2 linked regions of the Caenorhabditis elegans genome follow. The protein of the gene in region 1 interacts with the protein of each later gene in a pairwise test. Each region holds a gene or a part of one and is shown in the gene's direction. Other genes may lie near its edges. The genes, in order: clec-64 and C53D5.5.

Region 1 (4,570 bases):
CTACGCTTTCACCTCCAAGGACTTGAACTTGGTTGGAGAACTTCAAGGAGCTGCTCTTCAAAGTAAGATCCTTAGTTGTTCTACCAATACATAAAATTTCAAAATTACAGCCAACTGCTTCTGCCCGAACTTGTGGACCCAATACAAGTCGAACTTCGACGACGAGAACTCTTACAAATACGGAGTGTGCATCCGCCCCGCCACCATCTCCTCATCCTGGACCGCTGCCAAGTTCGCGTGCCAGAACCTCGCCAAGAACGGATTCCTCGCCGCCGAGTACGACGGACAGAAGCACAACTTCCTCTTCAGAGTCGCCCAGAACAACACCGCCTTCCAAGCTCCATACATCTATCACATCGGATTGAGTTATGTGAACGGAGGATGGAATTGGCAGCAACCAGCTGGATACCCACTCAAGCCAGTAAGTTTTGCCGTTGTCACGTAATGATGTAAGATGATGATAGTCGTATTGAACCTTGAAAAAGATCAAATCACTAGAAGTGATAACGAAAAATTGAACATTGTTCGGATGATAAGCCTAATCAATTTTCAGATGAGCGGCTACTCCAAATGGAACCCATCCTATCCAAAGTCCTTCACCAGCAACATCGGAGTCGTTGAGCAGCAATTCAGCTCGGATCTCACTGTTGGATGGCAGAACATCAACGCATACAGTGTTGCTGAGTACTACATGTGCGAAGTCGCTTCCTGTGATACCGACAAGTATTGTTAATTTAGCTACACTAATTTTTTTTGTAAGGTTCCTGTTGCGGTATAAAGGCTTTAATGATGAATTTTTTTTTTAATTTGCTTTCACATTAAAATAATTTGTCGAATGGAAAAAATCAAGAAATATAATACTGTTTAAATAATTTCTGAAGTGTAGTAAAACTTATATTGTAGATTCATCCCCTCACAGTTGTGTTGTCCGCAAATCAAACTACAAAATACAAAGAAGACAGACTGAAAGTTGTGTTCAAGTTTCAATAGTTTACCGAACTAGGCCATTTTGGCTCGGACATATCTGGGGTAGATTTACGGCGCGTCGCGGCTCGGTTTTAGTTGTAAAGCTGAATGCATTTGTCCGTGTAGAGTACACGACTATCCCACCCGTTGTCCGGCTTGTCAATGGAGCGAGAAAAATGTAATGAGGAAGGCCAGAACCCCGTTAAAAAATCAACATTTTCTCAAAAATATAAATGTTAAAAGCTCTTAACCTTTCACTTTCACCTACCCAAAACTAAAATTAATTACAAATTCGATTGCATCGAAAATCACTAAATTTCGTTATCATTGAGCAAATAATGTGTGCACACCCGTGTGGAAATGCTAATCCCTCGAAAAAAAAAACTCATAAAAGATTATTTTCAGAATATCATCATTTCCTTACTTTTCCACATTCAAGTTTACTTTTTTCCATATTGTTCAGGCAGGTAGGCATGTTTTGGTTTCTCATGAAAAACAGGCACGCACACATGCCTATTTATCTGCCTGCATGCCTGCTTTTTGTCAATTTTCTGTTGTTTGGCGTTTTTTTGAAAATTGGTTTTCAAACTTACTGCAATTATTTTGAATGCATTTTTACAGTTTTTCGGTATATGAAGCTGAAGCTATGAAGCTCCAAAATTTCCAGCAATGTTACTAAACCTACTTGCCATTTTCACTGCTTTTGCAACAACCCAAGCTTCAACTGATCGCAACTGTGGAAGTAACTGGAATAACCTTTGGCTAGACATCGTTATAGTCGTGGATAACTCGAAAGGCATGACAAACGAAGGAATCACAGAAGTTGCAGCCAATATTGCGACCACATTTGCAAGTGGCCCAAGAATTGGAACGGACTATTCTGATCCAAGATCTACCAGGCTTAGCATACTCACTTATAATAGTGAGGCTACAGTTGTCGCTGACTTGAATCAGTTTCAGTCGGCCGATGACGTCTATCAGACGCTTTTCTCGTTTCTCAATGAGGTCAGTGACTCTGATGATTCGTTCCTGGCGAAAGGGCTTGGGATGGCTGAGAGTGTTCTTTACAATGGAAGGATGAATGGAGTTAGAGAGAATTATAATCGATTGGTTGTGGTTTATGCTTCAGCTTACAGGTAGAAGCTTAGATTTGTTTTTTGAAAGTTAAACTAAAATTAGTTTATATACAATTTCTTGCCAATATTTGGAAAAGAAAAACTCATAAACGTTTCAAACGGTATGTAGTTTGAATCAGGGTTTGCAGTTCGGCAAATCGGCAACTTGCCGGTTTGCCGGAACTTTTCCATTCCGGCAATCTGCATGTTTTCAAATTGCCGGAAAATATATCATTATCATTTTCAGCAAATTTTTTTGTTCACAAATTCGATAAATTGGCAAATTGCCGGAAGTTTGCCGGAAATGTTTAGAGCGATTTTTTTTAAGATGAAAACACATAAAACTCTGCCTTTTTGAAATTTTACCCCGTTTTCTTAATATATTTTTATAGAATTTGCATTCTACTCAAAATAGATGTAGAAACATTCATAGGATACGTACATTTTTGCCGATTAAAATTGAAATTCTGAAATTTCCAAAAAAAAAATGTGCAAGACCACAATTTGCCCGAAATTTTTATTCCGGAAATTTGCCGATTTGCCGGAAATTCGCTGATTTGCCGGAAATATTTATTCCGGAAATTTGCCGATTTGCCGGAAATTTGCTGATTTGCGATTTTCCGGAAATTTGCTGAAAATTTGCCGATTTGCCGGAAATTTTTATTCCGGTAAATTTGCCGATTCGCAGGAAATTTTCATTCCGAAAGTTTGCCGGTTTGACAAAAATTCCAACTCCGGCAATTTGATCCGATTTGCCGGAAAAGTCGTTTGCCGAAAAAAAAAGTTTTTCCAGAGAAGATGGAGAAGACCCCCTAAACATTGCAAAACGTCTGAGATCATCTGGAGTAGCGATCGCAACCGTCGCTTTTGACCCAGATGGAGATGGGCTCCTACTGAGCAAGCTCTCAAAAATCGCATCACCAAATATGTCATTCAAGTCTAGAGATCCCAATTTGGTCGGCAAAATTCAGGCAGCCGCTCTTCAGAGTACGTTTTCTCTTTCTTAGTGGTGGAATTTTACAAAAAATTTAAAATGGTTTGATTTCAGCAAACTGTTTCTGTCCAAGAACTTGGATTCAATACAGGCCAAGCTATGACGACGAGAAGTCTTATAAATTTGGAATTTGCATCCGAGCCGAAACTATAACTGCATCATGGGCAAGTGCAAAGATCGCTTGCCAGAATAGCATTAAATATGGTTACCTTGTAACCGAGTTTGATGATCGGAAGCATGATTTTTTGTTCAGTGAGTCATTCATACAAGTTTTCCAGTGCCAAAGACTTTGCACAATATTTAGAATTCCAGGAATAGCTCTGAACAATGCTGAATTCACTGAACCTTACGCTTATCACACCGGGTTGAGCTATGTCAACGGAGCATGGAGATGGCAGCAGCCAGAAGGACACCCACTCATTTTGGTATAACAGCTTTAGCTTTATTTTTCCTCTCTGTCTGGCAACTCAATATACTGTAATTCCAGCAAAATGGAAGTTACTCGCATTGGAATCCAACATATCCGAACACCCCATTCACCAACACCGTTGTCGTTAATCATCAGCATAACTCGAATCTAGACGTCGGATGGCAAAACATCAATGGATACCGAGAAAATGAGAATTATATGTGTGAAGTTGCATCATGTGATACTGATAAATATTGTGATTGAATTTATTGTACATATATGTATGTATTTTGAATTAGTTTGCTTATCGAAGTTTACCAATTTTCAGAAAATCGTACTTAGGTAGTATAGAGTATCGAAATCTGAGACTTTGCTGTTTTGGAGCCAAAATTACCCAAAAAACCGAATTTCGTATTGAAACGTTTTGAAAATTTCTTTTAAAAAAGTTATGGCGGTTCAAAGTTCTAGAAAAAAGGATTATTTTCAGCTAAAATAACATTGTTTGGAACTTAATTTTTGATTCAATTGTCACTCTTTAATAGATATTGTGGTCTTTTACTAGGAGTTTATTCGTTGATTTAAGTCCTTTTTCGGCCAGTGGGGCACAAACAAAAATTACATTTTTGTGTCTCACAGACCTTGAATGTACTCAAATCAACGAATAAACTCCTAATAAAAGAACATAATATTTATTAAACAGTTTAAATTAAATATGCTGTGACACCGAGAAGTTGACAAAAATTTTGATTTTACAATTAGCTAAAAAACTAGCCTTTTTTTCATAATTTTGAACCTCCATAACTTTTTTTTTCGAGGAATTTTCGAAACGTCTCATTACGAAATTCGGTAGTTTTGGGTCATTTTGGGTCTAAAAAAACAAAGTCTCAAATTTCGGTACTCCACCTTTAATGGTGTTCGGGACCTCAATATGTGCCTATTTTGTATAAAATCCCACTAATGTTTCGTAAAACAATATCCGAATCAATGCCGACACAGAAATATTTTTCTTCATAACTATAGGGAATATACATAACAGTTAATTTGAAGACACATGCCTTTTAATTTATCAGAAAGTCGAACCACACA
Region 2 (7,580 bases), on another chromosome or scaffold:
GAGAAAAGACTGTCGGAATCCGCACCAGCGGTCTTGAGGAGAAGGCAACTGCTTGCGATATGCTTGTCGCGTTCGCCAAGGAGATGAAGGAGGCTTTCATGCCATACGTCGTCGACGTCTACGAGCTCGCCATCAAGAATCTCGATTTCGGACTTCACGACGGAGTTCGTACGGCTTCCGCTGAAATCATGCCATGCTTGTTGACCTGTGTTGAGAAGCAAGGATTGGCTGACAAGCGTCGTTTGTGGTGCGAGTTCTTGAAGGCATTGACGACCTCTATGGAGGAGGAGGACGATGTCGAGATTCTCGCCTCGTTCATGACGACCATCGGATCGTGCATTGAGGTTATGAAAACCGAGGGAATCGCCGAGGAAGAGGTTCAACTCATCATTTCGGTGCTTCTCAAGCAACTTGAAAACTACGGAAAGAGAATGAGCGATCGTCCAGTTGAAGATGAAGATGACGATGATGCTGAAGCTAAGGAGGAGCTCGATTATTTCATGGAATTGGAGGCCTCATGCCTTGGAGCCATCTCTGATTTGACTCACTCTCTTATGAAGGAGTTCAAGGGAACTATCTTCGAGGGAATGATCAACGTGTTCAACTGTGCCATTCAACTCATCGAGGGATCCAAACAATACTTCGAGAGACAATGGGGAATGTGCCTTCTCGATGACGCCATCGAGTTCGGTGTCGGACATATGCCAACTCGCTTCCCGAAGCTTATTCCAATAATGTACAAGTTGTTGGGAGATGAGTATCCTGAAGTGAGACAAGCAGCGAGCTACGGTTTCGGAGTTATGGCCATCAACTACCACCAGATCAGCGACTACCGAAACGAGATTTTGAGCTGTTTGGAGCCACTGGCCGCCATGATTCAACGAGAGGACGCCCGAGCCACCGAGGAGAGCACTGTTGCCACGGAAAACGCGATTTCTGCATTTGCCAAAATCATCGGCAATGTGCCACTTCCTGCTGAAGCCTACGGAAAGGTTGGTTTTAGAATTCAGTTTTTCAAGAAAAAAGTTCCATATTATTTCCAGGTCGTCGAGATGTTCCTGAGCTGGTTGCCAACATATTCAGACACCGAGGAAAGCCCCTACATTTACACGTGTCTCGCCGAATTGTTTGATAAACAAGACGCCGCACTTTTTGGACCAGAAAATCAGAATCTTCCGAGAATCTTCCTTGTTTGTAAGTTCTAATCTAAAAAAATCCGTAACTTATTTTATTTTTATTTGTATTTTTCAGGCTTGCTCTCAATCGCCAACGATGCTTTCAACGACGACGATAGCGGCAACCAAACCAAGCAAAGAATTGTCACAATCCTGAAGCAAATCTACGCATCGTTCCCACAATTCGCGCAGCAAGATGGAATCGACGAGCACCTTACCAGTGTCCTTCAACAAACTCTCAATGGGCAATAATAAGGACTTTTGTTGTGTTTTTTTTTTTGCTGTTATCTTCTCCATCTTCACCGAAATGAATCTTGTTCACTGTTAATCGCTTGTTTCGCGGCTATCCTCCTATCATCATCATCAGTTTCTTCTTTTGTTCCACCACTTCTCCCCGATGCCACATTTTCTCTAATTTTTATTAGTTACCTATCGACTTTTTTTCTGTTGTGTTGAATATTATCCTCATTTTCAAATCTACTCGTTAGTTGTTACAGTTAAAGTTTTTGAAAATAATTTCAGCCAAAACCTCCACTTTCTCCTATACTCCAAATCTAAAAGTCATTCTTCCGTAGTCCTCATTGTTCCCCCTTCCACCCAACTCTCTCCCACCACAGAATATCTCTTCTGTCACTTGAAGACTATCCTCGATAAAGAGAGCTATTGGCGGTTACCCCCTCTTCTCTTCTCTTCTCGTTTGTCATTGGAGCGCGCTTACACGCAGCAAACTGTAGCTCTTATCTAGTTTTGCGATAGAATTCCGTTATCGTGAAAAGTTGCAATTTTGACATTCTCGTCCTAAATTTCCAATTGACAGCGCTTTGACTTTTTCTATGATTTTTTAATTCATACTCAATTCTGAATAATGACTCCTGAAGGGCAATCGACGAGGTGAGAGAAAAATCGATAATGTTAAAAATTCGCGGGTTTTTCGAGAAAATATTATACGTTTGTGAAAAAAATTCGAATCGAGACCCAAACGAGGCGGCATGAGTTTCTGAAAAAAATATATATATGGATTCAAGATTTAAAAAGTGCATTGTTTTTAAATTTATAATGCTGGAAATATTACCCAAATGCGAAAATACGGTACCAGGTCTCGAAACGACCAATTTTTTAAAAATAAAAACAAGCGTGCGCCTTTAAGGGAGTACTGTAGTTCTCACATTTGCAAATTCTTTCAAAAAAATCATGATGCTTTGAAAACAACTATCGATGAAAATTTAATTTTTTGAAAAAATTGATACAACTTTTTTGGTATATGAAAAACGGGCAATATTTTCGGAATTTCGAAAATTAAATTAAATTTTATGAAAAGTCGATAAAAATCGATACATTTTTGTTTGAAATTGCACAAATTCAAATTTTAGAATCTAGAAATCTATAAATTCAAATTTTTTAATCCAGAAAATCGATTATTTTCTCAAAAAATTGAAAATACTCTTCAGATTCATCTTTTTTGTGGAATATTCAAATTTTTGGGAAACCTCTGATTTTTGAAAATTCCATTTTTAAATCAGAATTATTACGGCAACACAAAATTCTGAGAATGCGTATTGCGCAACATATTCGACGCGCAAAATATCTCGTAGCAAAAACTACAATAATTCTTTAAATGACTACTGTAGTGTTTGTGTCGATTTACGGAAATCATTCATTAGTCGATAAATTGTTTTTTAAAAAACACAAAAAAAATGAAAAAACCGAAACCCCGTAAATCGACACAAGCTTTACCGTAGTGATTTAAAGAGTTACTGTAGTTTTCGCTACGAGATATTCTGCGCGTCAAAAATGTTGTGCAATACGCATTCTCAAAATTTCGCGGTCTTGTAATAATAGTGATCATGCCACTCAATACATCAAATTTGACGCGCAAAACTCGACTTTTCAGCAGTAACCCACCTCCTGTTCAATACTATAACACGTTTCCGGACGATGATAATTTACCGCCAGAATATGGACCATTTGATGAAGTTGAGCCGCTTATCGAGGCCGAGCAACCCATGAAAATCCGTACTTTAGTCGCGGCGGTCGGCTTAACGGTTCTCGTATTCACGTTGTTAATCTCAACGGTCGCATTCGCTTCATTGTATTTTCATTTACTAATGCAGGTTTGTTAGAAAGCTAGGCCACGAGGGTGAAAACTAGTCCGCAGTCGGTTCATGGCTGGCCGATTTGCTACGTGGCCGATAAAAATAAAACTCGGCAAGGTTTCCAGAACAATGCCCGCCTACCCCGTTGGCCTGGACCATCACTTTCTCCACTCGGAAAATATTCGAAAGCCGCCGTCGCCGCCGACAACGAAATTTGCTCAGAAATCGGTCGGAATATTTTGCTGAAAGGCGGAAATGCGGTGGATTCGGCAATCGCCGCACTTTTCTGTATCGGTGTAATGGATACACATTCGGCCGGAATTGGCGGCGGACATTTTATGACTATTTATAATGCGTGAGTTGTTGGTCTCGCCACGAATTGGAGCGGAACATCAATAATTAAAAAAAAAGATAATTATTAATATTGATTTTTCAACTAAAAATCAATAATCGAAAAGGAAAACAAAGAAGAAAAATTTTGGAAGAAAGAATGATTTTCCTAGGCCATTAAAAACATTTTTGCAAACATCACATTGTGGCCTCACTGGTTTCTGGCCTTCGTCAAAGCGTTTTTCTCGCGCTCCATTGACAATCGTCTACACGACGCTCCGTAAATTTACCCCGGTCGTGGCCTAGTCCAAACGGGCTAACTCGGCAAACTCTTCCATTTCAAAATATGAGGAAAGCCAGAAGCGCGTGTGGCCTTTAAACTTCTGCCGTGGCCTAAAAATATTTTCAATGACTTAGAAACCTCTAAAATTCTTCCAGAACGACAAAAGAGTGTACGGTAATCGATGCTCGGGAGATTGCTCCGCTCGCCGCAACAGAGGAAATGTACCGTGACAAATGGAATCAGTCGAGAATCGGATGGAAGGCGATTGCGGTGCCCGGAGAGCTTCACGGCCTCCGGACTGAATTCGAGAGATTCGGAAGTGGAAAAGTCGAGTGGAGACAGTTGTTGAAACCAACTATTGATTTGTTGGCTGAAGGTGGGCACTTTTTCTGCGAGCCTAGAATATTTCTGTTGGCCTAAAAAACTCCTAACGGCGTAGAACATTTTTGATGCTCAAAAACTTTTCTGGTGGCCGTTTTTAGACCGGCCAACAATCCCTAGGGGTAACGGATAACGGGGGCAACGGATTTAATATTCCCCGGGGACAACGAAAAAGGGGGGGGGCAACGGATTCAACGCTGCTCGAAGGCAACACAACAGGGGTAACGGAAATGGAGGCAACAGAACAATAATCCCTGAGGGCAACAAAAAGCGAGGCAACGGAATATTGAGCTCTTGGTAAGTTAAATGTTGAACTTTTTGTAAAAATCAGTTTAAAAGTTTCTCCAATTACTGTGTACGTTAAGATGGGTATCACAATAAGTCTCACCACGGCGTGTCTCACCACGATGGGTCTCATCACGATGGGTCTCTCAACGGAGGGTCTCGCCACGATGGGTCTCACCACGATAGGCCTCGTCACGATGGGTCTCGTCACGATGGGTCTCGCCACGATGGGTCTCGCCACGATGGGTCTCACCACGAAGGGAGACGGGCCCAAATTTTTTCAGGAGGAGAAGACGAGTAGTTTATTACATTACTAAAAATTTCTAGACCATCAAAAAATTTCTAGGTCACCATAAAAATTCTAGGCCATCATAAAAATTTCTAAGCCATCATGAAAATTTCGAGGTCACAAAATAAGTAACTATGTTATCGGTTCATGTTTCTAGGCCATCCTAAAAAATTCCAGGCTACCCAACGTCCCATGCCCTTGCAAAAGCTCTCAACCAAAACGAGCACCAAATCCGCGCGGAGCCCACCATGAAAAACTTCATCAACCCCGAAACTCAGCGTGTCTTCCAACCAGGAGAGCAGATAAAAACCCGCCAAAACCTTCTAGAAACATTCCGGCTACTCGCAAACTCCACAGATCCCATCGCCGACTTTTATACAGGTCGGCTCGCCGAGCAACTCGCCAAAGAGTTCGAAGCCAACGGTGGGATCATCCGGCTTCAGGACTTTAAAAATTACAAATCAATAGTCCACGACTCAAAAAATGTGATCTACACAAAGCTGAAAAACGGGCGCGGAGTCTGCGGCCCGCCGCCTCCCTCGGGCTCAGCGGTGGCTCAGGCAATACTTAACGTGATGGATGGCTTCGAATATAACATGAAGTCGTTCAACGAAATCGCAACGTTATACCATCATTTTCTGGAATCTAGCAAATTTAGTTATGCGGCTAGAAGCTGGCTTGGCGACCCGCAATTCGTGGCAAACGCCACGGAAATCGCCAAAAATATTACGTCAAAAGAGTGGGCGGATTGGGTTAGGTCGAAGATCACAGACACGACGCATCCTGATGATTACTATGGAGGATCGTTTGAAGCACCACCGCAGGATCATGGAACAACTCATGTATCGATTATCGATGCAGACGGCAATGCAGTTTCGGTTACGTCTACCATTAACTTATAGTGAGTTTGGCTTTTTTAAAGGAAATTTTTGGTGGCCGAACTTCGAAAACTCGGCCAGCAAGTGAGAAGTTAGTCCTCAGTCGACAAGCAACTGCAGTTGATAAAAATGAACAAGTTCGAGGTCGTCACCAAAAATTTTAAACTAATTAGGCCAGGGGATGATTTTAGGCAGTCTTAATAGTAAATTGTTTACCACCTGGATTTTATACCGAAGTGATTTCATAATCTGGGCCACGTGTATAATTTCTAGACCATCAACCAAAGTTTATATACGCCCACCTGAAATTTGGAGGCCATCACCTTTCAATTCTAGGCCATCAGTTAAAAACATTTTTAGGACGACGTTCAATTTTTAGGCCATCAGTTCAAGTTTATAGGCCACAAACTTAAATTTCTAGGCCATCACTTTGACTTTTTCGGATATGAAGACATTTTCTAGGCCACCGCCAAAAAAACTCTTCCACCATCTCAAATTCTTCCAGCCTGGGTGCCCTAGTATCCTCCGAATCGACGGGAATTCTCTGGAATAACGAAATGGACGACTTTTCCACTCCCGGTCATCCGAATTTCTTCGGTTTCCCACCGTCTCCCGCCAATTTCATTCGCCCTGGAAAACGCCCCATGAGTAGTCAAAGTCCATTAGTGATCTTTAACACAAAAGGGGCGGAGCTTATGGCGGTCGGCGGAGCCGGTGGATCCACCATTATTTCGGGTGTTGCTGGAGTTGCACTGCATGCGTTATGGCTGAAAGCAGATGTTAAACAAGCTGTTGATGCTCCAAGGATGCACAATCAGTTACAGGTAGAGAATTACACGCGAAATTTGATTTTTTTTTTGTTGGAAAAATCGATAATTGTCAAAAAGTTGATTTTTTAAAAATAAAAATCAATAATTTTCAGAAAAAAAACTTCTGAATTTAATTTTCAATCAATTTTCGACTTTCACATGAAATATTTTTCAATCAATAAAATCAAAACCTTTCCCAATTTCCTTATTTTTTAGCCAAATTACACGTGGTACGAGCCAAACTTCCCGAAAGCCTACGTGAAATCCCTGATCGATCGTGGTCACGTAATGAAGGCAGTGAACAATTTGACAGTTGTCACCGCCGCCGAACGACTTTCCGACGGCCAAATCTATGCGAACAGTGATTTCCGAAAAGGGGAGGAGTCAGCGCCAGCGGGATATTGATTATTATGTTCATATTTTAAATTTTGTGACTTTTTTGTTGATTTTTTGTAGAAATCGGGTGAAATTTGAAAATAAATGTTCTAGTTTTCGCACTTGTGTTAACACTTTTTTACTGGTCTTGTGGCCGCGTAAATAGGAAACTCGGCCATCGATTTTTTAGAACATTTTTTATCTTAAGAAAAACTCTTTTCATAATGTTGTGTATTCGAAGGCGAGACGAGGAGGAGAAGACGAGTAGTTTATTACATTACTAAACTAAGGAATAAATAAGTTAGTTCATAGAGTTCACGTTGTACGATCTTCTTAGCCACGTCGTGGGTCAATACACGTTGATACCCAACACATAAATAGTAAGTTTAGTCAGGGTTTTTCAGTTTTCAAGCCAAAAATTTGTCTGTAAAAATTCAAAAAAGGAAACAAAGTTTTTTTTTAAATTAAAATTCTTCATATAAATTCAGAGTTTTAAAACTTCAAACCCGTAACAATGAACGAGGTACAAATGAGACAAGGTGAAACATATTACACGTTCGTCAAAATTTTTTTTCGAGGAAAGTGTAATAATACATGAACCCATAATAAAACGCGATGATGTTGACGATGATGATGATGATGCAGAGCAAAAAATGATGACAGAATTATGAGAAAAAAACGA

What was found.
Region 2: the proteins of clec-64 (region 1) and C53D5.5 interact in a two-hybrid assay, tested with the Caenorhabditis elegans proteins (one large-scale study listed by BioGRID).

The regions. Positions count from the first base shown.
Region 1 is NC_003280.10:12,896,655-12,901,224, forward strand, and holds clec-64 (VWFA domain-containing protein), read left to right. Parts: upstream 1-1,587; 5' UTR 1,588-1,635; coding exon 1,636-2,102; intron 2,103-2,874; coding exon 2,875-3,068; intron 3,069-3,129; coding exon 3,130-3,327; intron 3,328-3,387; coding exon 3,388-3,500; intron 3,501-3,562; coding exon 3,563-3,748; 3' UTR 3,749-3,785; downstream 3,786-4,570. Other genes in the region: clec-63 (C-type LECtin), read left to right, coding at 1-62, 111-421, 554-733.
Region 2 is NC_003279.8:305,248-312,827, reverse strand, and holds C53D5.5 (Gamma-glutamyltranspeptidase 1), read left to right. Parts: upstream 1-2,037; 5' UTR 2,038-2,040; coding exon 2,041-2,066; intron 2,067-3,066; coding exon 3,067-3,286; intron 3,287-3,393; coding exon 3,394-3,623; intron 3,624-4,036; coding exon 4,037-4,257; intron 4,258-5,013; coding exon 5,014-5,737; intron 5,738-6,219; coding exon 6,220-6,538; intron 6,539-6,739; coding exon 6,740-6,928; 3' UTR 6,929-7,017; downstream 7,018-7,580. Other genes in the region: imb-3 (Importin N-terminal domain-containing protein), read left to right, coding at 1-992, 1,044-1,194, 1,252-1,427.